Linked DNA regions of Astyanax mexicanus. The protein of the gene in region 2 purifies or fractionates together with the protein of the main gene of each other region. This does not show direct contact. Links are inferred from orthologs where the notes say so. Each region holds a gene or a part of one and is shown on either strand. Other genes may lie near its edges.

Region 1 (7,722 bases), about 13 Mb from region 2:
CTCTTTCTCCTCCGCTGACATGCAACACCCAGCCATGGTCTCCCGCTTTCCCCGCAAGACTTTGAATTTTCTGCTGAAAACCACAAACGCGGTGTCCGTTTCTGAGGTAAAATTTGCGTTAACTGACTAGCTAACCTAGCTGCGTTAGCGTAAGCTAATTGTAACGGTCGCTTTTCGCTTCTAAAAGCTATGCAGTCCTGTAAAAAACTCCTCACAGTGGCGTCTCGTCGGTCTTTAACTTTTTTCACTTTAAATTACGAAAAAATGTCCTATTTCTGAAGGGAAGTGTGTTTTCTAACATCATAAGATCAAGTTTCCACCTGTTTCCCCTCAGTTTCTGCTTTACTCCCTTTAGCTATCGAAGATGAAGACCAACGGACTAAGTGGGCATCCTGGTGCCTCCCGCCTTTAAAACTCGCCTCGTGCCCATCCCTTATCTCCACCCGCATTCGGGCAAGCCCCGCCCCTTACGCATCAATTGGTCAAGATTTCACGCTTACAGGCTTATCTTCGCTGCAATTGGATAGGCTGACAGTTTGGTAACTCATGTCAGCCAATCACAGCGCAGATGGGGAGGGTTTGTATTAATATGGTTGGAAAAAAGCAGCACCTGTCTAGGAATCAGCCTGGGTTCTATTTTTTTTACACATACACAATCATTTACAGCTCTGGAAACAATTAAGAGACCACTCCAATTTCTAAATTAATTTCACTGATTTTGCTGTTTATAGGTATATGTTTGAGTAAAATGAACATTGTTACAAGCTTAGAGTAGCTTAATAATAGGCTATTTATTAAAAACACTGTTTATACACACAGTATCTTGAGGTAGTTCTCTGGACCATCTTGAAATCAAGTCACAATAAGTCTACTAATGAGCACAGAAGAATAGGTAGGATAAGAGAACAGATTGCGAAATTAATTTCATGGAAAGCATGAATATTATTTAGCACACCCACCTTAAAGTATGGTGTGAAAAAACAGTAATTTTAATAAACTATCTGTGCACTTTTAAATTTCTCAGTGCCTCGTTTTAAATGTCAGGACCCTCTGAATTCTACCAATGAAGTGTGGAGCTACCTTGAGCTTGTTAACCCTCCTGTTATGTTACAGGTCAATATGACACATTTTAAAGTTGAGGATCTAGGAAAAATAGTTAAAAGTATTTTTTCAGTATGAAACTTCTTCTGCTTGCCATAATCAGTGTAATCAACATATAATATGAAAATGGTTCATCTCACATATTTGCAACCACCCCCTGCAAAAACTAAAACAAAAGTGCAATATTATGTTTCAATGTTATGTAAAACTGTTGTGTTTTGTATGTTGGTTTTTCAAAATTAATAATGTAGTAAAACATAAAAAAAATGATTTTTTTTACGAAAAATGAATGAATTATCCTAATTGAACTATTAGGTAAAGAAGACCATTGCACTTAATATTGCTAGAATAATTCACAATGGAGTTGGTAATGAAATATTCACACTGCATGTTAGGATTTTTTTTGGTTTCAGACACCATTGCTGTTCCTGACAAATTAACATAACAGGAGGGTTAATGGTGTAAATTCATTTCATTTTCTTCTATGCACCTATCGCTAGTATTATAGGCCTGTTGGTAGCATCAGCTAAAAGCACTGAATTTTGGAATGCTGAGGGCAAATGGAAATGGGCCATTAGACAAAAGTTCATACTTGTCACTACACCCAAAGTCCATTTCACACTTGATTTCTTCTATAAAGTGCACCCATTGCTGACACATATGTGAATGAAATGAACACACAGAAATGCACACACAGCTTGTCCAGTCTTTGTTGAAAAGTACTGCCAATAGGATAGGACTCTCCTGGAGCAGACTGGAGCGGTACCAATTGACCATACCTCTATACTTAATACAGGCTGTATTCTTTAAAATGATGATGATGTATCTAATATTTTGGAGATGAATTGGGGGGTTGAGGTGTGGTGGTTTTCATCCAACATCCTTTCCATACTAATACTATTGTGTCTGAATGCAATCAAATCCTCACCATTATGTTCCGCAATCTAGAAAAAAAGTTCTTCCCTATACAGCAGAGACAGATAATTCAACAAAAGCATGATAAACTCATTTTTATACTCTTTAGGACAAATGCGTTGCTAAGTAAAAAGTGATGCTATGTTTACTTTATTTATTTATTTATATTTTAGGTTAGCATATTGAAGAAAGGAAAAATACAAAAAGTGACATATGCAAAAGGTATGGCATTCTTTAATAATTTAATCAATATTTTAAAGACTTTTTTTGTTTCAAACCTGTTTTGTATTGTTATGTAATAGTTTGGTGTTTGGTGAGCTTGATGAGGGAGAGGGTGCCTTTAAGGATGATTGTGCATAGGGGCCTGTTAAGACTATGATTCAACTCTGGTTTCATTCAAAACAGCAAGGCACAGATTTGCAACTGCTTTCCAAGTAAAAGTAGATTTTTCTGAAGAACAGATTGAAAGTAAATAAGAGCGCAGCCTCTAATTTCCATGTTATGAAACCAGGGCACAATTCTAAAAGAATTCAGCAAGGCCTCATTTGGTTAGATTATTTTTCAATTACAATGAAAAGGCGATTAAAACATACTTGGAACATACTAAGAAAGGCCTGGAGAGTCTTCTTTGTTTTTCGTTGTCAAGCAGTTCCTGTGAAAATGAATTTATTTCATTAAATTGAAAAATGAATTTAAAATGAATGTCACCAATTTGCTGATTTGAGAAGAGATTTCTAATCAAAAAAACTCTTTTTTTTACATCAATTGTGTCTTTTAAGTGTGATGTGCGTGACAGTTAGATTGGGTCAAAATGATTTTTATTTCAGTAATTGTTTTTTTTTTTTACCTAGTTATTTGAATTACAGGTATATCATTTTATTTGTTGGTAATTGTTTATCCAAAAGCCTTTTGTTGACTTGAATTGTGCACAGTTTCAATGTTTGTTTAAATATATTAATGTAAATAAATATCCACATTTGGGAATATTTGATATATTCCCATTTGGGGATATTTTAAGACATTTGGTATATTAAAAAACATTTTTTACATTATTTGAAGAGTTACTCTGGTAATGTATTACAAGTATAATAAAAAAAACACCTCTATTGACAGGGTTTCTTTTACTATATTCCAACAATATATTCTATATATACCATTTATGTTGACATAGGCCCTCCCTTATTTTTATATGGTTGCCCTAATAAAGTTTCTTATAGTTAAGGCTTTTGACTACAAAAAAAAAATCATATTTTAACTTTACTTTTTATTTTCAATTATGCAAATATTTTTAACTGTTTACCACAATATGATGGGAAATATTAAATAAAATTGTTGAACATGCAGCAAGTGTCTTCAGACATTTAAAGAGTAGCTTTCCCAAGATGATAGAGTAGTTTAAAAAGCTTGATATTTGTATGAGAATAGCTAAAATAATTCATAAGCAACATCTGCACATATTGCATATATTGGAAAACAGTGATCTTTATTACGATCAATAACTGCCTTCTGAGTGAGACAGTGTGGGCAGCAAGACAGCCAGTCAACATTTCATGCGTTTAAGACAAGAGATGCTCACAAGTCTTTTTTGCAAGTATAAGTTTCAAGTCTTTGGTCACGAGTCCAAGTCAAGTCTCAATTCTTTGTTGGGTGAGACTTAGTCAAGTCTGAAGTCTTTGTGGGGTGAGACCTTGACAAGTCTTTGGTCACGAGTCCAAGTCAAGTCTTTAGTATTTGAGGGGTGAGAGTTGAACAAATCTTGAGTGTGTAGGGTGAGACTTGGTCAAGTCTTAGGTCTTTGTGGTGTGAGACTTGGTTAGGTCTCAAGTCTTTGGTCACGAGTCCAAGTCAAGTCTTGAGTGATTGTGGGGTGAGAGTTAAACAAATCTTGAGTATTTGTGGGGTGAGAGTTAAACAAATCTTGTGTATTTATGGGGTGAGAGTTGAACAAATCTTGAGTATTTATGGGGTGAGAGTTGAACAAATCTTGAGTATGTAGGGTGAAACTTGGTTAGGTCTCAAGTCTTTGTGAGGTGAGACCTGGACAAGTCTTTTGTCACGAGTCTAGTCGAGTCTAAAGTCTTTTTTGGGTGAGAGTTAAACAAATCTTGAGTATAGGTGGGGTGGTGTTGAACAAATCTTGAGTATTTGTGGGGTGAGAGTTGAACAAATCTTGAGTATATGTGGGGTGAGAGTTGAACAAATCTTGAGTATATGTGGTGAGACTTGGTAAAGTCTCAAGTCTGTGTGGTGTGAGACTTGGTCAGGTTTTAAGTCTTAATGGTGTGAGACTTGCTCAAGTCTTAAGTCTTTGTAGGGTGAGACTTGCTCAAAATCGAAGGCTAAGATAACTTAACTTCAATTCAGTCTTGACCTGGGCGCCTTTCTGCCTCAGAATCCTTACTGAATAGGCAGAATCGCTTGATTCATGTGGATTAATTCAGACACAGGCTGTGTGTGTAGTTCTCCTGTCCGCTAGCCGGCGGTAGGAGCTGCTGTAGCTCTCTCCTCTTCTCCCTGAAGAACGAGGTGTTCATGTTTTCAAACAGCAGCCGCGGATCCACTTCTACACCAACCTGCACCCTCCCTCCCTCTCTCTCCCTGGAGGCGGTTGGTGGGGATACAGCAACAACAAACAGCGGAGATAACGGCACCAGTATTGCTAACTGGCTCCAAAAACGGCTCCAAAAACCTTCCTGCGGGCGATTAATTCAGTTAAATTAGAGCAACATCTGTAGACGCTCTTTAGATCGGATCTGAGCTGAACAGTGGCCGCTGTTAGGCTAGTAATCAGCAACCAGCTAGTTAGCTAGCTAACATAACTAGCTTAGTGCATTGGTTTATTTTGACAGATTCGACCATCTACAGTAAAGTAGGTTAGTTAGCATAGTTAGATAGTCAGCTTTACAGTGGCGAAGACTGAGACTATTAGCTTAACTAGCTAGCCAACGCTATAGCTGTGAGTAATTACTGTATAACTACGCTAGCTAGTTAGCTAGTTAGGTTAACTAACTATCTACAGCGTTAAAGCGCTATAGCTAGGTTAGCTGCTGTAGCTGTAGGCCAGTTTCTCCTCGGGTAAATTTAGTTGTCCAGGTTAGTTAGCTAAGCTAAGCTAGGTTAGTTAGTTAGATGTGTAGAGATGCTGGGCTCTGCTCAGTCGAGGCGCAGAGGAGCTCAGGACTTTGCTGCCTGCTATGATTCAGCTTGTGCTGCTCAAGGCTCGGCTCCAGTGCCCGCAGTCAAGTCCAGCTTAAGTCAAGGAGTTTTGGACTTTAATGGAGATGTTATCAGTCTCTCAGACTGGACGCCTATACTCTCATCTCTGGTCATAAACAAGCATTTACACACTGTGACCATCAGGAGCTCCTATCTCAGCACACTGGGATCACAGGGTGAGTCCTTCTAGTTAAAATGATGTACTGTTAATGCTAGGTACTGTGCATAGGAGTGTGTGATATGGTTAGAATATTTATATCATTATATTTAAGGACATTTTCCGGATGTACAGAACCTACCACAGTATTTTGATCCACAAACGAACTGTTTACAACTGCTATTCAAACACTATCCCATAGTTAGGATATTAGCTCAGTAGTACACCAATATAAATATACAGCGCTGGAAAAAAGTGACCACTTTAAAACTGCAAAAACTGCAAAACTGCAAAAACTTGTTTGGTATTCAATATTATTAATTGACCAAATAATTAACTTTGTTTGGTTTTATTTAGGATTCTTTGTAACAACTGTAAAAAAAGGGAAATATGCATTAAAATCTGTTGGATTCCATAACTACATAAATAAGACATTTGAATTTGGCCATGCTTTTCAGCAGGATATGCTATATGTGAATCAACCAACATATTATGGATAACACACTGTTTTTGAAAAGTGGACAGTATGTATTTTTGCTCAGCTGATGGTTTCACACCTTTCAGCTTCTTCCAGCAAGGCTACCAGCAGAAAGAAGACCCCAGCGATCCATTCCAAGAGTATGACCCTTCAGCTCTGCAAAGCTGTGCAGAGATGCTTGTGTGCTTCACCCAGTCTAAAGACCCTCCAGCTTCATGGGCTTCCGTTAAGAGAGAAAGACCTCAACATACTCACAAAGGTAGAGAAAAGGCACCAAAAGACAAAAGGTTTATTGTGAAATAAGAACAATGCATGCTGATTCTTTGGTTCTGTTTTCTGATCAGGGTTTGTCTAAAAGTGCCTCCTTAGAGCACCTGTCTTTGGCACGCTGCCCTATTGCAGATGATGGGCTTGAAGGTAAGTAAATTAGAATGATCCTTGAGCATCATCAGAATGCTTTAACTTTAGTTTTGTTTATAATAGGACATCTGTATTGTTTCTTTGTGCTTTCAGTTATCTGTCAGAGTGTTAAGTACTCCTCGACAATCAGGACTGTGGATTTTACATCTTGTAATATTACCTGGCAGGGTGCGGCGCACATGGCAAACATAATCAAGGTAAGTTAAGGTCTGTTTACCGGTGTGATGTATGGGATTAGACTGGAAATAAATAAAAAAATCCAGAAAAAAAATCATGGTGTTAAGATTTTGTGAAAATTGGTCTTTAATTAAAAAAAGGTCTTTATTTGAAAAAATTGTCTTTGTTTACTCCTGGGGCTCTCCTTATAGTTGCAGAGAATAATATACTTTTACACCACTGCAGTAAATACAAATCACTCTCTGCGCTCTACCTCATTGACAACTGTACACATGTATTTGTTGACAAGCTGAAGGCTGGCTACTGAAATGAAATAATACAGTAAGGTCTGTGGCAAGGAATAATATTATAAGATTTTACACAAATATGACTAAGCATCATTATAAAGGTCTCATGCAGCTCAACTAAAGTTTCAGAAAGTACAAAAATAGAATTACAGCCTGGAGTGGAAATGATAGAGACACAATTTCCTCTATTACAAGTCACTGGAAAATCACAATGATTTTGAAGATTTTATTTAAAGCAAAAGTGCTGCATTATGTTTCTTGGTTGTTGTATATTCGTTTTTTACATATGGATAGATATGTATATATCTGTCAATTTTATATTATTGGCTTGTTTCGAGCAGCATCAAGCAGTGAGGCGTCATGGCACAGCATGGGCGGAGTCTCTACGGTACAGAAAGGCAGAGTTTGAGGCGATGAGTGGGCTACGCAGAATCACACTTAATGACAATATCCTAATCGGGGACAGAGGAGTGGCAGCGATTGCTGAGGAACTGGCAGAGGACTTGTGGGTCAAAGGTGAGAGAACATGAGATGTCATGGATCTAAGGCTATATGTGGATTTTGGGTCGAAATTAGCAGACATTTATTGATACTAATGTTCTCATAAAAAAAAAAACATGTTGAAATGGAACTTTAATGGAACCAACTGAAGGAAGGACGCACCGAAATTAAAAACTGACCAAAATGAAACATTTGGCCAAAGGATAAAATATCCTAAATGTATTTTGGTCTGATTTTAAAAGAACAAAACCCCCCCAAAAAAACATTTAAAAATGTTAATTTAATTCTAAACTTTTAATATCCCAGTACACATACTGTACCAACAACGCACCATACATCTACCTGAGCTGTGCTATTCTAATCAGGAATTTATTTCAGCGGTGCTATTCATGTTACACATTTTTCTAGCCAGCTACTTCTGAAGTGCAATTTTAGTCATACATTTACCTCAGTTATTAATGCCAGCTAAC
Region 2 (7,657 bases):
GCTAGCTAGCTAATCTAGCTAGGATCGCTAACCTGGCGTTAACTCCCTTAACCACAGTGCTAACGCTTCACATTTTAGCAGGTTAAACCTAAGCTAGTTAACCCAGCTTCTTAACATCTGGACTCGTTTATATAAGACTTATTCATAGAGTCCGACGGTCACTTCATCCACCTGGCTGGCTATATTCCAGTTAGCTTGGTTAGCTAGCTAACGCTAACAACACCAACCAGCTCTGTGATAGCTGTCATTGCAGAAGCCTAGCCACATGCTAACTGAGCTAACCACTTAGCTTAGCGTGCTGCCTGTACGTTAGCCAGCGGGGCTCACCTCAGTCCTGCCCCAGTCCCGCGCCCGGCTCCCTTCACTCCCGCTGTACCCGGGCGGCTGCAGTCAGGCGGGCTGAGCGCTGCGGCGCCGCGGCTCCGCTCTGGCTCTCTCTCGGGCTCTGAGCGCGGCTTTGTCAGACCGTTTACCTCCACACAGCCGCGAGCATGAAGCTGATCATGGCGACCACGTTCCCGGCGTCACGGTACGGGCGACCGCTGTCGGCCTTTAATGATGCAGGCGTTGTTTTCGTTTGCGCGGTGAACACAGGCCGCGGATTGGTCGGCTCTCGCGACGCCTTAAAAAACAGCGATGTTTGAGCAGAGACGGTGTTCTGTCGAGTTGTGCTACCCTGTCAAACCGTGCTACCCTAGTGTGTGTTTTACTGTAATAATACAACCTATTAGAACATGCTGCATGCAGTAGAAGTGTCGGTATGATATTAAGCATAGCCTAAATCGCTGCATCAGGATAAATGAAAGGCAATATAGGGTGATTAAAATGTATGTATATGTATTTTTTAATCATATTTTAATTACTTTTTTACACGGTTGTAACACTCAAGTAAACGATGACTGTGAGGCAGATTGTACAATGCACCCGATAAAAAATATATCATGAAAAAATACTACACAAAACAGTGAAAATTAGAGTTTCAGAGCCACTAAGTAGCACATGTCGATGGGTAGCACAACTCGACAGAACACCAGTTAATGCAGAACCTGTCTCCTCTCCCTGTTATATCAGAAAAGATGTCAACCGCAAGAGGTAGCCCGCGAGAGAGACCAGAATAAATTGGGGTGAATGGAGCTAAATGGCTAAAAGCATAAGTAAATAAAAACTACTTGTTCAGGTTTTTCCTTGAATTTTATAAAGCAAAGGAAAAAGCAGAAAATTATTACTTATACGTTTTTATTTTTCTACCCTAAACGGAGTTTAGGCAGTAAAGCCGGTAGCGTTTTTGCTACTACTGTGCGCTGATTGGTTTGTGTGCTGATGCGGGACTTGGGTTCAAAATTTCTAACCATAACTGGAGTTAAAAAATTATATATGCAACACTGAAACAAAATTGTTCAGTGATGAGAAAATAAAGGCATATTTCAATATATAAATAATTAAACATCTTTAAACTAAAATTTGCTAAGCTTTGCTCTAGTTTTTTGAATATGTAGTTTGTAATAAAGATGTAAAAGTCTCAAATATCCCAGATAAACACTTAAAATTACATAATTAAATATAATATAATTAAAATAATATGTATTTGTGGCACAGTTTATGCACAAATGATGAACTAAAGACTGCCACTGCCATCACATTAGTTGCATTAGACTGTCTCCAGGTGCTTATATATATATACAACTTGAATTCGACAAATTATTATTTTTTTGCAATTACTCTATTAACAGTTCAAATCAATTCTATATAGTATATTTTTTCATATTATATCTAGTTTTAGTCATTAAAATTATTTTATGTCTGTCCCCATGTTCTTGTCAACTTTAATGATGTCAATTTTAGTGGAAAGTGACTTATGTCAAATTTCTATCTTCATTATGTTTTATAAAATAAAATATTGTGAAATTAAAAGAGCCCCTTTGGTAACACCATGTCAAAAAAATAAATAATAATGTGTGGTCACGACTTATGAAAACCTGGGAACATGATAATTACATTTTGCGGATGACTTAATAAGGGTTGGGAATGAGATAATTCGTGGGGAAAGTCATGGGGAAAATGTATATGGCCAGGACTTAAGTATCTCGTTTCTACAGCTTAATAAAACGTTTCCACAACTTTTGAAAAAAAAAAAAAACATTCTTTCTTTATTTGTGGCTACATACCGTTGTATTGTGATATCTATATATTTTACACATGTACAATGTCAATTAAAAGTTCTTTAACTACTGGCTATATTAAAATATATGTTGCAATATTTGCATGCTAAAGCTGTAATTTAATAACAAATAAAAAAGTACACATAATAAAGTACACTACATATTTACCCTACAGAGGACGCAGAGTCATTTTGAATACAGCCTGTATACTGAACCGATTCTTTGTCATATTGAATCAACTGATTCAAAGACTCGTTGGTTGACGTGTCGTGTGAATGCGCATGTTCTTAGTTTCCAGTGAGGTTAGGAAAGAAATACATTACATTTATTTACAAAACATCATTGATAAAATTAATAAAGCATAGATAAGACAGCGGATAAAAAGTATGGGTCAATTTATTTCTGATTAATTCATTTATTATTGTTACGTATACCTATTTTATTAATTTAACTGTTTCAAGCTCAAAATAAATCTATAAAAGCTACTATTTTATTTTCATCCTTGGGTGCAAAATGTTTTGAACCATCCCTGTAATAAATAACATTTTTTAATGTGGATCTGGAGTCTGTGTGAATCGGTTCGCCTGTTTAAATGAACAGAACCGGATCAGCAGAACCGCCCGAAGATATCAGTGCATGGAACATTTGATAGATTGTTTAAGATTTTAAGGTAAAGTTAAATGAATGATAATATGTTTAATATACAGTAATATTATACAATATAAATATTTTCTATATTAATTTAAGGAGCAATTCATACTAACAGATTAAAATAAAAATTCCTAGTAAAAAAAAGGTTTGTAGAGCTTTCTGTATATTTTGTCTCAAAATGTTTATATTTTTATAGAAATGTATATATCAATTTATAAAATCTAAAAGAGAATGTTAAAATGTTAAACATTTATTTAGTTTATAAATATCAAATCAAATTTATAATTATATATTTATATTTTTACTTTACAGGATTTTTTTGCTGCGGTGGGCATCCCTTATTTTCATTTCTGAATGGTGCCAACCCTAGGTGTCGGTTCGGCTGTTAGAATAAAACTGAATAAACAGTATAAGACAGACAGACAGACAGACTGAGCTCACCTGGTCTTCTGGGAGGCCGGAATCGTATCCGTAATATCATTTTCTAAGGTTTGCTGTAATTGTAGTGAGAGCTGGAGTCCCATAGAGTCCCGCAGAGTAAAGCTCAACATTGTTGACTAGTGAGAGCTGGAGTTCAGAGATAATCTTAATCACTCAGCTGAAGCTGCTGTGGGAGAGGGTGTGGAGATACAGGAGCTACAGTAGGTCTGAGATGGTTCACCTCACACATTACTTGACTTACTTACTCTCTCTTAATAAAGAACACTCGCTACTTACTACTAGCTCTTGGCTATAGGTATGGGTTCATTTTTCTAATATGGACGTATGATAAATGATTACGTATTTCCATTATTATTGTGATAATGTGATAAAAAAGCTGCTATAACACCTTGAATAACAGCAAACATAAGCTACGTTACCCATATGCAGCAACAGAGGGAACTAGCGCTTTACATTTGCAGCCTGTGGTGACAAAACTGGGCTAAAGGTAGAGTGAGGTAGAGCTCCACAGTGAATGCACACATGAAACTAATTACACTTAGGGCGTTTTCACACCAGCACTATTTGGTCCGGTTAAAACGAACTCTGGTCCGTTTGTAACTTTAGTGCGGTTCGATTGAGCCGGTGTGAAAACAGTAATCGCACTCGGGTGCGGATCAAAAGAACCGGACCGAGACCAGCTAGAGGAGGTGGTCTCGGTCCGGTAACAAACGAACTCTGGAGCGGTTCGCTTGTGGTGAGAACGTGATCCGGTCTCGATCGGATCCAGCTATTAAATATAAGCCATTTATTTGAGCTAAACTGCTGATAAAGCAAGCACAGTTTAAACTGATATATTAGCCAGATAACACTAATTACCACAGCTGTGAACAAACACTGTGTCCATGCACGCGCTGCATTCACTGCTCTGTTTATTATGTATAAATCTGCGCTGCATTCACTGCTCACAGTCGCGTGACTCTGTTTATTATGTATAAATCTGTGCTGCACGTAGAAACACTGTGTTTGAAAGTGCAGCGTTTCAGCGTTCAGTGTTAAAGCACAGATTTTGTGCTGGAACACAAGATCTTCTCGCTGTATTTACTTTTTCGTATATTTATATTTAACGTACTCCCGTGTCAGACAGTTCTGACCAATCAGAGGACACAGGCTGCTCGCGTGGTTTATTGATGCGCATTTTGGTGCGTTTACATTTATGCCTGTGTGAAACCAGACTGAACAGAGCAAGAAAACGCTCCAAGTAAACAAACTCATTAACTGATTCGGACCAGAGAAACCAACTACAGGTGTGAAAACGCCCTTAGACTTAGAATGGGTACAATTAGTACAGCCAAGTCAAGTGTACGTTAACAACCTTTAATGATTTTAAACTAATTTTTAGTGTCTTAATTAGTTAATGTTAATAATGTTCTACATCGATCTTAGCACATTCAGCAGTGCTAACAGTGCAACATTCTATTTTTAAGAAAATAGAATATAATTTTTTTTAGTTATTTAACTTTTTTGTTAAATAAAAAAGTTAAATGTGTTTATTCATAGTTTTGATGCCTTCAGTGAGAATCTACAATGTAAATAGTCTTGAAAATAAAGAAAACACATTGAAAAAGATAAGGTGTTCCCAAACCTTCTGGCCTGTACTGTACATCATCCATTTCTGCACTTTAGGCCTTCAGGAACACATTCCAAGTTAGAACTTTGGGTACCACTTTAAAATAAGACTACCTTCATAAAGGGTTTATAAATGTTTACAATTAGTTTATTAATAGTTACTAATTAGGTTGTAAATGCCTTAAAAATCATTAATAATCAGTTATAACACATACGTAGAAAGGGCAACAATATAGATGGCTGTGAGTTCACTATTGGACAAAAAACAGGTCATTGTTGTCCTTTTACGTATGTGTTGTAACAGATTATTAATGACTTTTAAGGCATGTACAACTTAATTATTAACCATTAATAAACTAATTGTAAAACATTTATAAACCCTTTATAAAGGTAGTCTTATTTTAAAGTGGTACCGGACTATAATGTAGCAATGAATTGTTTCAGGTGTTCATTTATCAACGTATTTTAACCTCTTCTTTCACATACATACATTTTTCATTTGTTTGGCTTGTGGTTTTGCATTGTCTTGTTGAAATATGCCTGGCCTTCAGGTGGGTGTCTACCAGACACTGATTTGGATAAGTAAACAAACATACAAACAACAAACAAAATATGTATTTACCATGATTCAGTTTTATTTACAAACTTAAAAAAAAAAAAGTTCAAAAAAAGAAAAATCAGAGAAAAATCAGGTCAGTTTGATTTGAGTGCTTTCAGATTGATCTGTACATCTGACCATTTCACCTTAATGAACAGAACACAGATCTGCTCCTCACACCCAGCCTTTTCTCGAACAACATCAATAAATACCTCGATTCAAGTAAAGAGTAGTAAGCAAAGGACATGGAACGCTGGGGCATCGTTCACATCTCAGCCGTGACGCTCTGGGAACATGGTAGAGCTGTCGGCCTAGGTCACTGCTTTACTCTGGAAATACAAGTAACCGCACTGACCACAACTGACCCTTGTTCATTGGTCCATAAGCTTTCACATGCTTTAGCCAGGTGGCAGTCATACACACACACATACACGCACACACGCACACCCACACAAACACACACACACACACACACACACACACACACACACACACACACGCACACACACACACACACACACACATCCCTTCAATCGTTTACAGCTGAGGCATCTTTCTGCGAGAACGTGAGCCCCTCATAAAAACAAAAATGTACAAAAATAAAAAATACAAACAAATAAATACACATTGTTATAAATAAATTAATTTGGTAAACTGACAAATGGCAAAGAAAAAGAATAAAAACAGGTACGTTTATTCCGTACGCAAAGAATGATTACATATTGGAAAAAAAGAGAGATAAGAGAGACGCGATAATGTACGATTCAGATGTTTCTGGAACAGTTGTCCAATCTGCTTCGAGCGCAGGGGACGTCAGCGTTTCGCCCCGCTAAAAAAGAAAAGCAGGGAGAGTAGCAGAGCAGTGTGGGGTACGGGTGGGCCTGAGCGGTACATTGTCTGTAAATAAAGCAGATCAATGCCACGTATGGATACAGAAATGAGGCGAGATGGTGTCAGCAGTATACAGTTTACTGTATAGTACCGTTTGTGCACAAGCAGTGCTCATATTTGGTGTCAAAAATCAGATGACTTGTGGAATTCTCCCAAATTTACAACCAGACAAGAAGCGAGTTGTCTGATTATATCCTTGGTTGCTGGATACTGGAATGAAATTTGGTGGATTTGGTTTAATGGAAATTATACACTCTTAAAGATAAATGTGTTTAAATGGTTATTTTCTTGTGATTTCAGTTTTTGCAATTGTGAAGTAGCATTTTTGAGGGTACTTAGGTATTTAGCCCCTAAAATACACATAAATTAAGAGGGTAAAAGCTAGATTGCTACCTCAGGGTCATGCCAAGCCAGTTACGCATATGCTTAAAGAACTGGACAGCTCAACACACTTGGAGGAGAACACTAATGGCCTATTCTGTTACGTCAAGGCCACTTATGCTTTTGAACATAGCACTTAGACTGTTGCTCCACCTGGAAGTGCTTGGAAGTCCATTCCAATTATAGTGTTCATCTTTAAGAGCATACTCTATTTGGGAAACTTGATTGTTTTGGCACACATTTGACGTCATTTTATCATTTGATTTTGGTTTGACTCAATTCATTTTCATACATTATGGAAGAAGCGTTGTGACGTTTCAGCCACTGAAGTGTCAGAAGCGGGAAAGGTTGGGGTGAAAAATTACAGGAGTATTACAGGAGACAGTGACCCACATAAAGAGACTAGGCAAAGTCTGCACATCTTAGCTCAGCTTGAGTAAGACTTGGAGTGAGATGTAGGCATTAGGAGCAGTGCTCCTGAACCCTGCAACCCTCACCAATACATTCAGTGAGACAGCAGCACAAGGCATCAGTGTTTAGTGTACGTTCTTTGTATCAGTCGCCACTCTATTCCCAAGTAATTTAAAAAAAAGAAAAAAAACTTTCACACATTTCACACATTTCTTTGATCGGGACTAGTTCCCTTTATCCTGTATCGTAGTAGGCTGTAAGAGGGTTCACCTGCATGTGACCAGTGTTCACAGAAGAAACAGTTAAAACACCATTCAACATTACAGAGATTCAAAAAGGAGTGGCAAGCGTATTCACACACGTAAATGAATAAAGTCTTCAGTCTAATGTCTGTGTCTAAGGCCTGTGCTTGCAACACTGTGGTAAAGGCGGGAAGTAAAGATACATTCTTATGTTTTTAAGGTCTTCTGTTAACATTTTCTCTCTCTCTCTCTCTTTTTTTTGTCTTTTTAATGTC
Region 3 (7,371 bases), on a different chromosome or scaffold from region 2:
GAAGCCTCTGTAGAACAGTTCCTGCGAATGAGCAGCTACTACAGAAACAATCACACTCAAAAACATAACTTGCTCAAACTCAGGGTTTCCAGTAGGGGTGGGGAAATTTCTGATTCTTAGATATGTCTTGATTTAGACGTATACAATACTGAATCAATTCAATTCAAAAATCGCTTTTCTACACGCTATATCAAAAAGCGTAAAGATAACAGGATGCAAAAGGCAGAACTAGGAACTGCGTAATTATTTTTCTTAAATATAGCTAAAGCACTTTATTTATATATAAATCTGCTTTAAATAACACTATATTAATTTCCATTTCATTTTTCTCTACATTTTAAATATTTTAAACGTTGTTTAATAACTTTAAACAAATGATGCTTGTGCTTACCATTATAATTATTAATATTGTTGTCCTTGTGGTATTATTATTATTATTAGAAGAAAAACTCAAATTTATTTGAATTTAATTATTAGGTAAGCCAATCTGGGATCCCATTCTTATGTATATATAAATATTACAAAGTCTATTATAATGTGTAACTTTCTGTTACATACTTTACATTTTATTCATATGCAAATCCAACACATATCAGACACAATATTAAAACAAGCATAAGTCATAACATTATAATCACCTTCTTGTTTCTATTTTCCTGGTTTAATATTGTGGCTGAAGCTTGCCTAACCATTACCCTAACAACATTAATCCTATCATCTGATCAAAGGAAATAACTATGTTTTTTTAAGTAAATAAAAATGGTGTCAAAGAGCCTACTAAAAAGTGGGATTTATTATGGATCATTACAAATTCTTTACTTTAAAATGACCAAGCAGTCATGCAATAAAACAAAGAAATCCTGTATAGAAGAAGAAAATGCATTAGGATGCATTAATAATTGTTTTATAACCGCATCGCAGATTCCCACCCCTAGTTTACAGGTTTCCCAATCATGCAAATTTTACCTTCTCCTAACACACCTGAATCAGCTAATTAGCTCATTAACACGCCCTTTGAGAAATTGCAATGGGTGTGGGCAATTCTCTAAATGTGCTGGGAACACTGTTGTAATTGCATTACAGATTCAAACAAATTCAATTTGGTTTTAAATACTAGTTTTACTTTAGTAAAGACTCGGTTTATAATAATAATTTATCTTTGACACCAGGGTCCATGTATGATTAATAGCATCTTAAAAAGAAGGGGATGCTTAGCTTCAGATTTAGCACTTAATAAATCAGTCTGCACTGATCCTGGAACAGCACTCACAGCACAGCCAGCACGCCCAGAGAGTGCTCCTGGATGTCCAACGCTCCCAGCACCGTGTCTAGGTGGGAGAGGTTCTTGGCCAGCAGCTCTCCACTCTTGTTGATCAGCTCACATAGCTGAGTCATCTGACCTAAGAGTGACAGACAGAAAGACGAGACAGATATATTTGATAACAGAATCAGTTACACAGAGCTCTAAACAAGACAGCTAAAGTGTGTGTGTGTGTGTGTGTGTGTGTGTGTGTATGTATGTGGGGTGGGTTGTTTGTGGCCAGTCCTTAAAGTGTCACTTTAAAGTAAAAATAAAAGAGTGTGGATTTTCTGCTTGTAAAAAAAAAAAAAAAACAAAAAAAAACATTTAACCGTAGTTTAGTTTCTAAAGCAGAATAAGAATGTGGTGGGAGTGTGTTTACATACAGAACACACACATCTGGAGTGTAAAGAGCTTTGTAAAATGCTCCTCACTGCTGCAGGCTTCATAAAATGCGTTAATTACAACTAGAGAACATAACACAGTGGTAAAAACAAAGGATCAGACATGAATCAGGAATAAAATGGTATAATGTATAATTATGGATGTAATGTTCACCATCGAGCAGATGCTTCACTAAAATTAACTACTAAACTGAAGTGTGAATATATTAAATCTTAAAATCAGTTAATAATAAGAACATAATTAAATACAGAAACAGGAACATGTAAATATAGAATAAGTCATAATATATGTATTGCTTTTCGAAGCAGTCTTATAAGCAGTTTTATAGGTTACTTAGTAACACTCATATTTACAGCTCAAAATATCTAGCTCAACGTTTACATTGTTGCAAATTATGGATGCAATGATTAGTCAACTAATCAATAATGTTCATTATTAAAAATTGGTCGTCTCCAAAGTCAGTGTATACTTATAAATTATTTGTAAATGCGATGCACTAAACAAAGTAAAATAAAATAGCATTTTAAATAGTATTTTAACGTAGCACGGCCAGTGTTACTTGGTCCTATTCCAGCACACAATACATACATCAGCATATGTTGTATAACCAATATACTGATATAATTATATATATATATATATATATATATATATATATAATGATATTCTGGTTTGTTTAACACTTTGATTGCAAAATAATTCTGCGTGTGTTCCTGTAATCAATATTCTTCTATATTAAATTTACAATGTCAAAAAATCATTAACAGAAAGAAAACACATTATACATGAACTATATATACATTATATTCTGTTAAGGATTTCGATATATCTTGACCATATCGTGATATGACATTTCAGTCATATCGTCCAGCCCTAATCTAATGGATAGGTTATCTAACTCAGTAAAGCAGCTTATTTGTCTCAAATTAAAACACTTAACTTGTCTAATAATATCTCAAACACTTGTCTAATGTAGCTAATCTATTATTTACCAAGTTTCTCTGAGAGTCTGTGAGCCAGTTAAAGCGCTAAGGTGCGCTAAAGTTAGCTGCACTCACTGTGTTTGGCTAGTCAGTCAGCTAGCACCTAATAGACATAACTAGCAGTAGCATTAGCTATCTAGCTAGCTGTGTTTATAAACACAAAAGCGAGGGGAATTCGGGTTAAATCAACATTTGTTTGCGTTTGGTGGTTTAAGAAGAGTTTAAAGGCGGTTCAAATTACATGTGTGTTTAGTTAAAGGTTAGTTAAAGAGTGTGGAAATAAGTGAAGTGAGACCAAGAAGCTGCTAGTTCGAATTCTCCATTCCACCTTAAATGTGGCGGCAGTTACAGTCCGGAATCGAGGCGCGAGAATGTAGATGCAGTCTACAGCCTCGCTATTTAAGGTGGAACGGATAGTTCGATTAAGCCTCGTCCGCCGCCGCTAGCAGACCTGGCTAAACTCGCTCCATCTCTCCGAACGGGTGCGTACCTTGTGCAGACAGCTGCCGCACATTATTCACGAACTGCTCCAGCGCGGAAGCCATGACTCTGCAGCGGGGTAACGAGCGCTCTCTCGCCGCTTTTCATTCAAGTATGAGAGGCTGCTGCTCAGGAACACAAGTCACGGTGAAGCGCCGCGGAGGCCGCCACCAACACAACACTGCTATCGCGAGATCTGCGCTCATAAGCCACAGATCCCGCGAGATTTGAGAGAAGGATCAAAAACAAACGATAAAAGTCTCCAGTGTTTAACAAAACTTTTATTTTTAATTTTTTCCGCTAAAAACGGCGATCAGAAACATTTAACTAACAATTTACTAACTTTAATATCCTGTACAGGAAACAAAGTTTTTTATTATAGACATTTTTTAATATATTTATTTTTTATGTATAGGGATATTTTTAGTACATCTTAAATAGCATAAAAATACAAATACATTAACACAAAAATATATAAATATGTAACTTAAAAAACATAAAACATATACTCATACAGTGGCTTCCAAAAGTATTCATACCCCTTGAACTTTTTCACATTTTGTCATCTTATAACCACAAACTTAAATGTCTTTTATTGAGATTTTCAGTGATAGACCAACACAATGCACATAAGTGTCTTGGTGGACAGTCTTCAGTCTCCAGCAGATTTTCTTCCATGTTTGCCCTGTATTTAGCTCCATTTATGTCCCCTAGTTTAGATGTTGTTTGGAAGTTAAATTGTGGTGCATTGTAGAGATGTTACTAAACTTTAAACAGTGGCACAAAATAAGCACTGTATAAAGTTTATTACATAATTATATCTGTGTTTTACAGCAGCTTGTAAAGAATTTATTACACCATTACAGTACCAGGTGTTTTCTTTCTTTTTATGATTTTTACTTTTTTATTTTAAAGACATCAAAGCTATACAGAAACACATACAGAAATGTTTTGTGTTCAAATTAAAATAATCAAAAGTAAAAATTTAGTAAAAAAAAATGTTTGAGGACAGATCTGCACACTTAATCTCAGTGTCCCCATAAGGGAGAGTCACCTCGAATAGTTTTCTTAGCATCTTGAAGGAGTTTCTGGAGTTTTCTTGTTTATAACTGTATTATATCAGTGTTATACAGAACATAGTAAAGTGTTAACTATGTTATAACAGTGGTGTAATGACTTGTTGGGTTAATAACATGTTGGGTGTTTGTATTCGACTGTTCTGTAGGACAGAAAGTATGTTTCAATTATTTGGAAAATGTATTCAAACTTTGTGTTCCTACACAGTTTTTACAGTATTGTATTAGTTGTACAATTTCTTTTCATGGCTGTACAGTAACTGTATACAGTAAATTATTATTTTGCTTTTGTATTTGTATGTAGACCACTGTACATGCAACTGTATGTTGGTTGGGATGTACACTGTGTACCTTGTTTTTATGGGAAAATAAAATAGATATTTTATAAAATATAGATTTTTACTGTGTACTGTGTGTTCTGAGTATAAAAACAATGTTTTAAAAAAATGTCATTATTGTGAATAGAGAAGTGTTTTTATTCATCATAATGTTTTACATTGAGCTTATCAGTGTTTAACTGATTCTTATAAATGTATATTCCTATTATGGTTTGTATGTGTCATCTGAACACAAAACACCATTATTAGAAGAGATAACATTGTGTTGAATGTAAAATTGTATTTTGCGAGAGAATTGAAAGGTTATGCCTGTTGTGTATGTGTTTGCTTGATTTGTGTGTAGAGTACTGAGAGAATGAGGTATGCTTTTGGAAAATGTGTGTAAACAAAGCAGACAAATTGTAAATAATAACTATTATTAATGTTAATTGTGCGTAGAAGAGCACAACCACTCAAAAAACATCAAATTAACGTTGATTCAATTTCCGAATTTTAGCTTGAGTTGATACTTAAAATTGTACAGTAGTATTAACCCTAGTATCTATACCTCTACCTACAGAGTAATGAATGTGATTGTTTTCACACCATTTGTGTGTGTAGAAGTGAGCCGGAGGGCGTCCAGACCGAGTGCACAGCTGGACAGGCGTTCACAGGTGTGAGGGTCTGCATGTGCATGTGCGTAAAGGTGTGTGCAAGTGTTTAGTATGTGCGTAAAAATGTGTGCAAGTGTGAGTATGTGCGTAAAGGTGTGTGCAGGTGTGAGTATGTGCGTAAAGGTGTGAAAGCGTGTGTGAATGCTTCATTTGTCCTGCTCATTTGCACGTGTTAGAAGAGTAGTGCTCGAGCTGCAGCAGTGGAGCACACATGCTTGCACATACGGGCTTTTAGAGGAAGATGGGGGGGTCGGGGTGAAGAGATGGGGTGGGGGACCAAATGTTGTAGCTAGTTCTTTAAAAACAAATAAAGGGCGCGCTCGTGCACACAGCACAACACTACAGCGGAGCTGCTACAGAGGGGCTGCCTGCAGGCGCCAGCTGACTAACTGACGGAGACGCAGAGCAGCGCGAGGACGACGGGTCAGCGGGGCGGCGGGGCAGCGGCAGCTCCGGGAGAAAGAACCGGGGTGAGTGCTTCTCTATTCAAAGCTATATAAAGCTAATACACTAAAGCTCAGTCTTTTCAGTCCAGAATCAGAGCCCAGATACTAACTAACCTACAGTCAGCCAGTCATGGCACGTTTGGGTGTATCTGAAACGCAGGAAATGCTGCCTTGATGCCTTAATGCTTTACACACTAAATAACCTAGTTAACCTAGCTAGCTAGCTAGTTAGCTAATCATAATACTGTGGTTATAACCGTCTCTTTTTTCTTTAATAAAAGGGGAAAATACGCCCCCTGACCTTGTCATGGTATAGACAGCAGTTAGCTAGCATTTCAGCTCAATAAACAGAAGGCTAACTAGCTAAAGCTAGCTTTATAAACTAAAGTTTAATAGACCTTTTTCACAGTCGCTGTGTCGTCACGTCCGGCTCTGAATATCAGCGTTAATATCGTGTTTCCGTCTGTACTGTTTTAAATGGTATCATCTCTCCTTGTGGTCAAACAAATGGTCATCAGAAATATACAATATACAGCTCTAAAAAAATAAGAAACCACATAAAATTGATGAGTTTCAAACTGAAAACCTCGAGATTATAATCAAGAGGAACATGGATGATCACAGGCCATCAAACTAAGTTGAACTGCTTAATTTTTGCACCAGGAGTGGTATAAAGTTATACAAAAGCAGTGTGCAAGACTGGTGGAGGAGAACATGCCAAGATGCATGGAAACTGTAATTAAAGACCAGGGTTATTCCACCAAATATTGATTTCTGAACTTTTAAAACTTTATGAATATGAACTTGTTTTCTTTTGCATTGTTTGTGGTCTGAAAGCTCTGCATCTTTTTTGTTATTTCAGCCATTTTTCTAAAAAAAAGCTGTCAATGACAATATTTTTTTTTGGAAATTGGGAGACATGTTTAAATAGTTTCTAGAATAAAACAACAATGTTCATTTTACTTAAAATTTATCCCTCTGGTCTCTTAATTTTTTCAGAGCTGTATATTGGACTTTGAGAGGAATTTACATGCCTGTATCAGCAAATCTGTTATCAGCAGCAGGTCAGAGTCTGTCATGGTAAGGGGGTTGTAGTAGTATATTTCTGTGATTGCAGCATTAATGACAAGGTTCCAAGGTTTTTTTTTTTTTTTTTTTTCAACAAGACAATGTAAAACCACATGATGCACTCATTACAAAGGCATGGCCGTGGAAGAAGAGGGTACGGGTACTAGACTGGCCTGCCTGCAGTCCTGACCTATCCTGTCCCCAAAAGGAGGAAATGTGTGGAAATTATTCTTAGTCCTCAAATGTATTTTAAGTGTTATGGAAAATAAATTACACCATTAAGAAGGGGTAAATGCTTTTCTGTCTTTTTTTGGAATTTATTGGAATGTGTTGGAGGCCTGAAATGCAGGAATTGATGTATACTAATTAATGAAACAGAAAGTTGAGCAAGTAAAACATTAAATATCTTCATACTGCCTGCATTCAAATAAAAGTCAGAGTAAATGTAAGAAACACCTATTTTCCTAATTTACAGTGGGCCTGCTGAGTACATTTAGCGGCTTGAATCTGGGGGGGATGGGTGGGTGGATACATGTATATGTGGTGGGGGGTGAGGGGTGTTAACTGTTCAGAGATATGTAATACAGGTCTGTAATTGTAATGTAAAATGAGGCAGTTGGGT
Region 4 (7,283 bases), on a different chromosome or scaffold from region 2:
AAGCCAACAGGCAAGTAGAAGGCCTGCTTAGATTACCGTTAAGCATAAGCCTACAAGCAACTGGTTTTCTCTCCCCATCCCCCACCACTGGCACCCAGCTCCACAGCTCCCCACACAGTGTGCTAGCCTGTGGCTAATTGTGTCGAGCCCCTGTGTTTACCAGTGACAGTAAACAAACCTACTATTCACATCGGTATTAATGCACGTTTTGCAAAATACTAAACCTAGCCCAGGTACATGTTATACAAACAGACCACACAGCATGAGCCCCTATCTCTATTTCTCCGTCAGATTCTGCGAGAGCCCTCATGGCTTGTATTTATAATCACTGTATTTGGCTTCCACCCGGTTCCTGAGGCAGGCTGTTCCCCACACTAACCAGATCTACACTAATAGCCCAAGTCGAGATGAGGTCACTGAGTAAAGCAAGCAAGCAGCAGAAGCACACGCCTCACAACCAAAACTGGAACTTACACCTCACATAACACCCATGCACACCCAAACTGCTTGCTCAGCATTCAGCAATTAAACAGAGACTGAATCTCAAATGACTAATTTGTAGGAATTACACTATAATGATCATGAAATAATGTCTATATGCATATATAAACAGTGCACTGTGTGTCCAACAGTAAGAATAATAAGGTTTAAAGGTGGTTTATATTCCAAAGCGCCAAGATAATACTAGAATTATAATATAACATTATAATATATTTTCTTTGCATATCATGGATACTACTCATACTTTAAGGTTGACCAACTGCATGAGCAATTTCAAAAGAGCATCAAACATTTTATAGCCATGTTTTATTGGATTTAGTGCAGTATGCAAAAACAAACTGATATTAAAGTCATGACAATATATGCAGGGTGGTTAAGTGAAGCTGGCCTACTGTGCTAAAACTGCATTTGTAATCCTTCAGAATGCTAATCAAAGTGGACTAATCACCAGTGCTTATATAGCTAAGTGTATTGGAATTGAGAGATGTGCACATGATAGTTTATTAGAGATCTGTGCCAGATCAGTGCATTATTTCCAAGTCATTGTACAATGATGTGTGATCTGCATTAGCTACAGATAGCAAGGTATTTTGAACATATATTCAAGCATTTGCACCAAATCTTATTTGAAAGGTACACTCTTACTATATCTTACCATAGTGTACTACAATGCACCACACCAGGAATTGTAGGTAGTTATAAGCTATAGTAAGTGTCCAAACTGTTAGGTTACAACAATGTTATTACAGCAGTATTATGCAGTAGCTGTATCTTGTAATTTGTAGTGGAATACACTGTAACGTTACTTGTAAACGGTAGGTTTTCGGACATGCTGGCTCTTTAAAGACCAAGTGTTAAAACATTCTTCTGGGCTCACTAGGATAAAAATCCGGTTAGGAAATGACTGTAAATCACTGTGGTGTAACATGCAGTGTTTTGTCGTACCGTAAGCGAGTTGGTGTTCCTGAGAGGAGGTAAAGTGACGGGCGATGTCGGATCAGTCCCTGCCCGGAGAGCCCCGACGCTGATCCCGGGGGAAGACTGCTGCTGCTGGCAAATTTCACCCCCCTTGCCTACAATGCAAAAACACAATATTTAGCTAGATATCTAGCTTAAAATCTAGTTAAAAACAGCATTTAACTCGACTGAGGCGCTGGCTGGCTGTGTGTCATAGGCTAATAACCATAAACCACAGATTCAGTAACCTACACAGATTCAGAGTGGCTATATGGTCAGTGTAACGTTACCGTTTATCAGTTAATTTTTAGACAGTTCGAGCCTAAAATAGAAATGAAGGGTGTAAAACTTAATTATTTAATTGTTTTCTTTTTATTTAGCGAAGAGAAAATGTCTATTATTTTTTTAATATCTAAACCACATCCTGAATTTACTAAAAAAATATTTTCTCTCGTCCAATTTAATGATATAATTCAACCTACTACCTAGCCAAGCTTATGTTACATGATGAAAATAAATAAAAATAAGAGAATTTAGTAACTTAGCTATATATGCATTTATTCATTCTCCATGAATTAAAAAAATAATAATTTTAAAAGGCGGAAATAAAGACAAGGTTAGCTACAAAAATGACTAAAACTTATCTTTTTAGCTAGTAAATAGGACAAATGGCAATAATTACGTTTTACAAACAGTTTTCTAGCTAATATAGCGAGAAAATTAAACTGATAGCTAGCGTTAAACGTTACAGTGACCTACGTTATGTAGCTTAGCTTAGCTAAACCAATCAACAGGGTAAAATCTGGATGCATTTAAATAACAGCTTACTATTTAACTTCTATGTTTATTTAATAAAGAAATGAATGGCAGGACAGTGAGATTTGTAAGTATCACAGAAAATCGTTTTAAAAGGACCTAACAAACGAAAATGTACATTATTTATCGTTAGCCTCCTTTACGTATAGAAACAGCACTAACAGACAGTGAGCTTGCTAGGTTAGCATAGTTAAGATAGATAGGGTAAATTATGCTACGGCTCTCGTTCTAAACGTTTGGTTACCAGTTAGCTAGCAGGCTAAGCTAACTAACCTAGCTACCATTCGCTGATTATTCAACGTCTTTGACTGATATACAAAAATACAATAAAAATTTTAAACAGCCTTCCACTGCTCAAGACGGAGCATGGCTACACCGCACAGCCAGCTAATAAGCTAGTTAGCTAGCTAGTTAGGTTACAGTAGTCTTTAATCTACCACCTCATTCTCCAACAGAGAGGCAAATCAAACGCAGAGAAACTGCCCGGCTTTAACAGCCACAGCGTTAGCTATAAATCCGTATAAACAGTCCAGCGTGCAGTGCGGCCATTCAGCTAACCGGGTGTCCGCGTTTCACTACCGTTATGGCTTTTCGCCTCCCCGAATCCGGACTTTAGCCTCCTTACCAGTCGGGTAGACAGCAGCGCAGGGCTTCTTGGTTAACATGGCCGCTGGAGAGTCACACACAGGGAAAAAAACCCACTCGAAAAACCCACTCCTCCCCCTCCGCTGGGCGATCACCACCAACTCTGCTACTCCAATCAGCTACATCCAGTCTCGCATTCTCAACGGGCGCAGCTTCCTCAAACACAAGCCCAAGTTGGGTTACCATCGCTCGGAAGAGACGCCCTGCCAGAGCCGCGGCTCCACACTGCTGCACCCTCAGCCTCACGCCTCGAAGTTCCCCGCCGCATGTTAGTTCACGCCGCCTCCTCTACCGGGCGGCTCTCTTTGGGGAAAGCTCTGTCAGTGAGTGAGTGAGCGCTGTATGGGTGTTGCCTGGCTTATCTATCGTCCTATTCACCTTCCCCCACCCTCAGCCCTCAGCCCCCAGCCGGAGTGCAGCAGGGACGTAGTTAGCATGCCAGCTATTAACCTAGTTAACATAGTCAAGTATAGTGGGTGCAGTTTTTTTTTTTAAGGTGGCTCACATTAACACACTCTGTGATCACACACAGATGAGCTGAGCTAGGCATGCTGCAGTGAGTGTTTATACAGCTCTGAAAAAAAAACACTTAAAATGTTGAGTTTCTTTGATTTTACCTATTTGAAAAACACTGGAATATAATCAAGAGGAAAATGGATAATGACAAGCCACCAAATCAAGCTAAACTGCTTGAATTTTTGCACCAGGCGTGGCATAAAGTTATCCAAAAGCAGTGTATAAAACTGGCGGAGGAGAACATGCCAAGATGCTTGAAAATTGGGACCAAAAACCAGGGTTATTCCACCAAATATTGATTTCTGAACTCTTAAAACTTTATGAATATGAACTTGTTTTTGCATTATTTGAGGTCTGAAAGCTCTGCATCTCTTTTGTTATTTCTGTAGTGTATAGAATAAAACAACACTGTTAATTTTACTCAAACATATACCTATAAAGAGCAAAATCTGACAAACTGATTCAGAAACTGAAGTGGCCTCATTTATTTTTTCCAGAGCTGTGTATATGCTTAAAACAGTAATAATGCTAGCAGTGCAAAAAACTCATGAGAGTAGTTTGTCCTGCTTTTTTCCCAGGGACAAAACCAGGCATATTTCCAGACGTCAATGTATGTTTACATTTCTTGCAGACTTGCAGAAACATCTAGGCTCCACATCTCCAGATATGTAATTTACACACACGTGTACCCCGGGTTATTTCCACAGTTTAGTCCAGCCTGGACATTAAAACTGCCACATGCATGCATGTAATCACTGTCCACTAGAGGGTGGAGAGAAGCTCAAGCTTCAGGCCTGCTTCTTAGGCTTTCCCTGTCTTCATGTCTTGGAGTGTATATACAAAAAAAATCACTGACAGCATCAGTGCACACAAGTGCTGTAACTGGGACTTTCAGACACTGAATGGAACACTGAAATCCATTGTCTTGTCTGTTCTTACACAAGTTATATCACAGTAATAAATGCAACTGAAATTGCAAACTTTTGGATGTGTCTTGCTTTTACTTTTATGAACGTATCTGCATTTTGTTGTCATTAATGTTGCCATTGTTTAGTTTTTCCCTTAAGGCTCTCAACTGATTTTTGTGTAGGCAAATGTGCAAAATAGGCATAATTACTTTTTAGCCTGAATTTTCAGATATTGTTTATTTTTATGACATCACAAATGCAGTAAATTCATGATTGTCTATTTTATAGCTTAATTTCAATAAATGGAGTAAATGAATTAACAAGAGTGAATGGTGCATAAACTTTATCAAAGTATGTTAAATACATCATAGCTTAGTGGCAACCTTACAGGAGAAGTGAGAACGTATTTAATTTTTAATTAAAGTCAGTGTAAACACATTTTATTTTAAGTGAGTTTGGAGCATAAATCTATTTATCATGATCCCTTGCAAAGGGACAATATATCGAAAATTATGTAAGAAATCAGTTATTCTTTCTATTTTACTAAAAAACTTTACTTAAAAGAGTAAAGTGTGTTTTATTTTGACTTATATTTCTTAATTCATGAAGGAAAAATAACAGATTTCTGACCAAAAAATCTTAAATTAATCATATATAGTTATTCACTGCAGCTTTGACACAGTGTGAATCTGGCAGTTGTTCTTTACTAAGTTTCAAAAAGTGAACAAAAGTAAAAATGTACAGTAGAGACATACTTTTTGCACAACAACGTCTATAAGAGCCTTTTGAGATAGAAGGTGCTTCAGGTTTATGAGGTAACTAAAGTCTATGGTCCAAATACACCAGTGGGCAGTGGGTTGCTGCAGAGATATCTATATATCTTCTGGCACCAACTAGAGATATGTAGACATGTACAATGCAGTCCTGTGAGAATGGCAGGGCAGTCATCACATACAGCTCCTCACTATTCCAACAAGAGGCCACATGTTGGTCCGTGTGTCAGACTGCGTTCAGCTGGGAGCAAAACATGCTGGGACGGTTGTCACGGCATTTGTCACCGCGGTTACTAAGAAGTATGTCCAGGAAATATGTGAGGAATTGAGCCACGATAGCCCAGTGAGCCATTTCCACCAGCACACGTAATAACTGAGCCCATGTCAGCCTCACATCATTGCCCTGTAGCTTGTGATAATGGGCTATCAGCAAGGGTCTGACCGAAACCTTTTCACTGAGGCACATCAGTGTGTGAAACTGCCAAACAGCCTAAAAGCTGTGAATGGACATGCATAGTTGTGATAGACATGCTGAAGTAGGTGTTAGATGCTGTGGAGTACTCCACTCAATACCCAGATAGTGTTATACAGTCAAATAATCCCTAATTAAATACATTATTACTGTTTTGCAAACTAAATAATTCATAAATATGGTTAGTTTTTACACCAAATAGGCCAAACCAGAGTCCAAACCATTCAAATTCATGTTAGGTACATAGTATACATTGCCGTTTAAATGATGTGTAAATGCACACACACACACACACACACACACACACAAAGCTACTCTATTCCTATATATACTGTACAGCAGTATTGCAAAAAGAAAAGACTCGTCAGAACATAGCCCTATTGGCACCTTGCCTAATGCCAGGCCTCCCAGGCACTGAGCTGTGGAGCAGAGGTGCAGTGTTCTCTGAAATGATTGTGCTCCAACCAATATTCTTGGGATGAGGTTGGGAATCATCCAATATTCTGACTAATCAAATAATCAAGCAATGCTTTAAAATCTACTAGAAAACCTACCATGGGCTGTAGATAAACTTTTTTTAAATACTGTTGATTCCAGGAAAAACGCGAATGAATTGGTCAGACGTCCCGATACTTTTGTCCACATAAATTATATACAATGCCAAAGATTTAAAGATTAGTTTTATGATGTGAAAACTAACGATTCTGGTAGTCGACTAATCTGATGGTTATTTTTTTGATCAGTCGATTAGTCAACGATTATGTCTGCCATGTCCTCTATCTCTAAAAACATAGAATAGAAACAGCTGAACATGGCATTTAAATGTCTAGTTGTTGTTAAAACATGGAAATTAGTAATATTAAGTGATTAAATATGTAATCTGTTGAGTTTGGGCATTTTAGGAGACACAGACTTAGTTGTTTGTAAACCATTGAGCTTCTGTCTCCAGCGCTTTGTGTAATGTGGTAATGTTACAAATTAATGATTAGTCAACAATGACATTTGTAGTCAACAAATTTAAATAATTGATACTGTCGATTATATCGACTAATCGTTGCAGCCCTAGAGAAAACCATTCCTGATGATTTTTAACATTTAAAACATAATAAAATTGTAGCTTCATTGTAACATTAACCAATGTTTACATTCCGCTACATAACAACAATATCATCATTTTACACAGCTTGTCCCTTCACTGTTCCTGTCACAGATTAACCACATATACAACACAGAGTTTAACTGTTGTATATATATAAATATTATAGAAATTAATTTAAAAAATAAAAATTTAAACCTATTCTCATAAAAAGTCACCATTTCAGAAACACGTCATGTCGTTATAAAGGCATTGATGTGCTGACTCTGCTTTATTGGACCAAAGGGCGTAACCTATTTGTATGACATAATGGTTCAGTTCATAATGTGATTTGTTTTTCTTTCTATAGGTGATCGCAAGCCTGCTTTCTCAAGGCCTCCTCTCTGTTTGTTCCCTCTGCCTGTCCTCGCTCTCTCTCTCAGGGAACATCTGATCTTTAGGGGATGAGTCAGTGGGGCTGTCTGAGAAGCTCCAAACACAGGCTGTGTTGTTTTTCCCTTTCCTTCTGCTGACACTTCTGCTCAGCATTGTTTTAGTGAGGGCTAATAACGTTACAGGGCTCTTTAGACATATTGTTATTTGGGTCTCATCCATATTAG

The links.
Region 1: the proteins of DDB1- and CUL4-associated factor 1 (region 2) and cep78 purify together in Homo sapiens (affinity purification with western blotting; 3 studies listed by BioGRID, with this or other methods). This does not show direct contact. The link is inferred for Astyanax mexicanus from reciprocal best matches to the Homo sapiens genes DCAF1 and CEP78.
Region 3: the proteins of DDB1- and CUL4-associated factor 1 (region 2) and cops3 purify together in Homo sapiens (affinity purification with mass spectrometry; 5 studies listed by BioGRID, with this or other methods). This does not show direct contact. The link is inferred for Astyanax mexicanus from reciprocal best matches to the Homo sapiens genes DCAF1 and COPS3.
Region 4: the proteins of DDB1- and CUL4-associated factor 1 (region 2) and dyrk2 purify together in Homo sapiens (affinity purification with western blotting; 5 studies listed by BioGRID and IntAct, with this or other methods). This does not show direct contact. The link is inferred for Astyanax mexicanus from reciprocal best matches to the Homo sapiens genes DCAF1 and DYRK2.

Annotation. Positions count from the first base shown.
Region 1 is NC_064419.1:22,911,314-22,919,035, forward strand, and holds the start of cep78 (centrosomal protein of 78 kDa), read left to right. Parts: upstream 1-4,451; 5' UTR 4,452-5,155; coding exon 5,156-5,408; intron 5,409-5,953; coding exon 5,954-6,126; intron 6,127-6,211; coding exon 6,212-6,284; intron 6,285-6,380; coding exon 6,381-6,484; intron 6,485-7,092; coding exon 7,093-7,267; intron 7,268-7,722. Other genes in the region: gna14a (guanine nucleotide-binding protein subunit alpha-14), read right to left, coding at 1-36. UniProt on the Homo sapiens protein: Centriole wall protein that localizes to mature centrioles and regulates centriole and cilia biogenesis. Involved in centrosome duplication: required for efficient PLK4 centrosomal localization and PLK4-induced overduplication of centrioles.
Region 2 is NC_064419.1:10,125,393-10,133,049, forward strand, and holds the start of DDB1- and CUL4-associated factor 1, read right to left. Parts: upstream 3,349-7,657; 5' UTR 3,292-3,348; coding exon 3,252-3,291; intron 556-3,251; exon of another isoform or gene 328-555; intron 1-327. UniProt on the Homo sapiens protein: Acts both as a substrate recognition component of E3 ubiquitin-protein ligase complexes and as an atypical serine/threonine-protein kinase, playing key roles in various processes such as cell cycle, telomerase regulation and histone modification.
Region 3 is NC_064422.1:7,821,687-7,829,057, reverse strand, and holds the start of cops3 (COP9 signalosome complex subunit 3), read right to left. Parts: upstream 3,361-7,371; 5' UTR 3,234-3,360; coding exon 3,179-3,233; intron 1,401-3,178; coding exon 1,271-1,400; intron 1-1,270. UniProt on the Homo sapiens protein: Component of the COP9 signalosome complex (CSN), a complex involved in various cellular and developmental processes.
Region 4 is NC_064409.1:11,632,447-11,639,729, reverse strand, and holds the start of dyrk2 (dual specificity tyrosine-phosphorylation-regulated kinase 2), read right to left. Parts: upstream 3,272-7,283; 5' UTR 2,940-3,271; coding exon 2,900-2,939; exon of another isoform or gene 2,833-2,899; intron 2,815-2,832; exon of another isoform or gene 2,715-2,814; intron 1,575-2,714; coding exon 1,447-1,574; intron 1-1,446. UniProt on the Homo sapiens protein: Serine/threonine-protein kinase involved in the regulation of the mitotic cell cycle, cell proliferation, apoptosis, organization of the cytoskeleton and neurite outgrowth. Functions in part via its role in ubiquitin-dependent proteasomal protein degradation.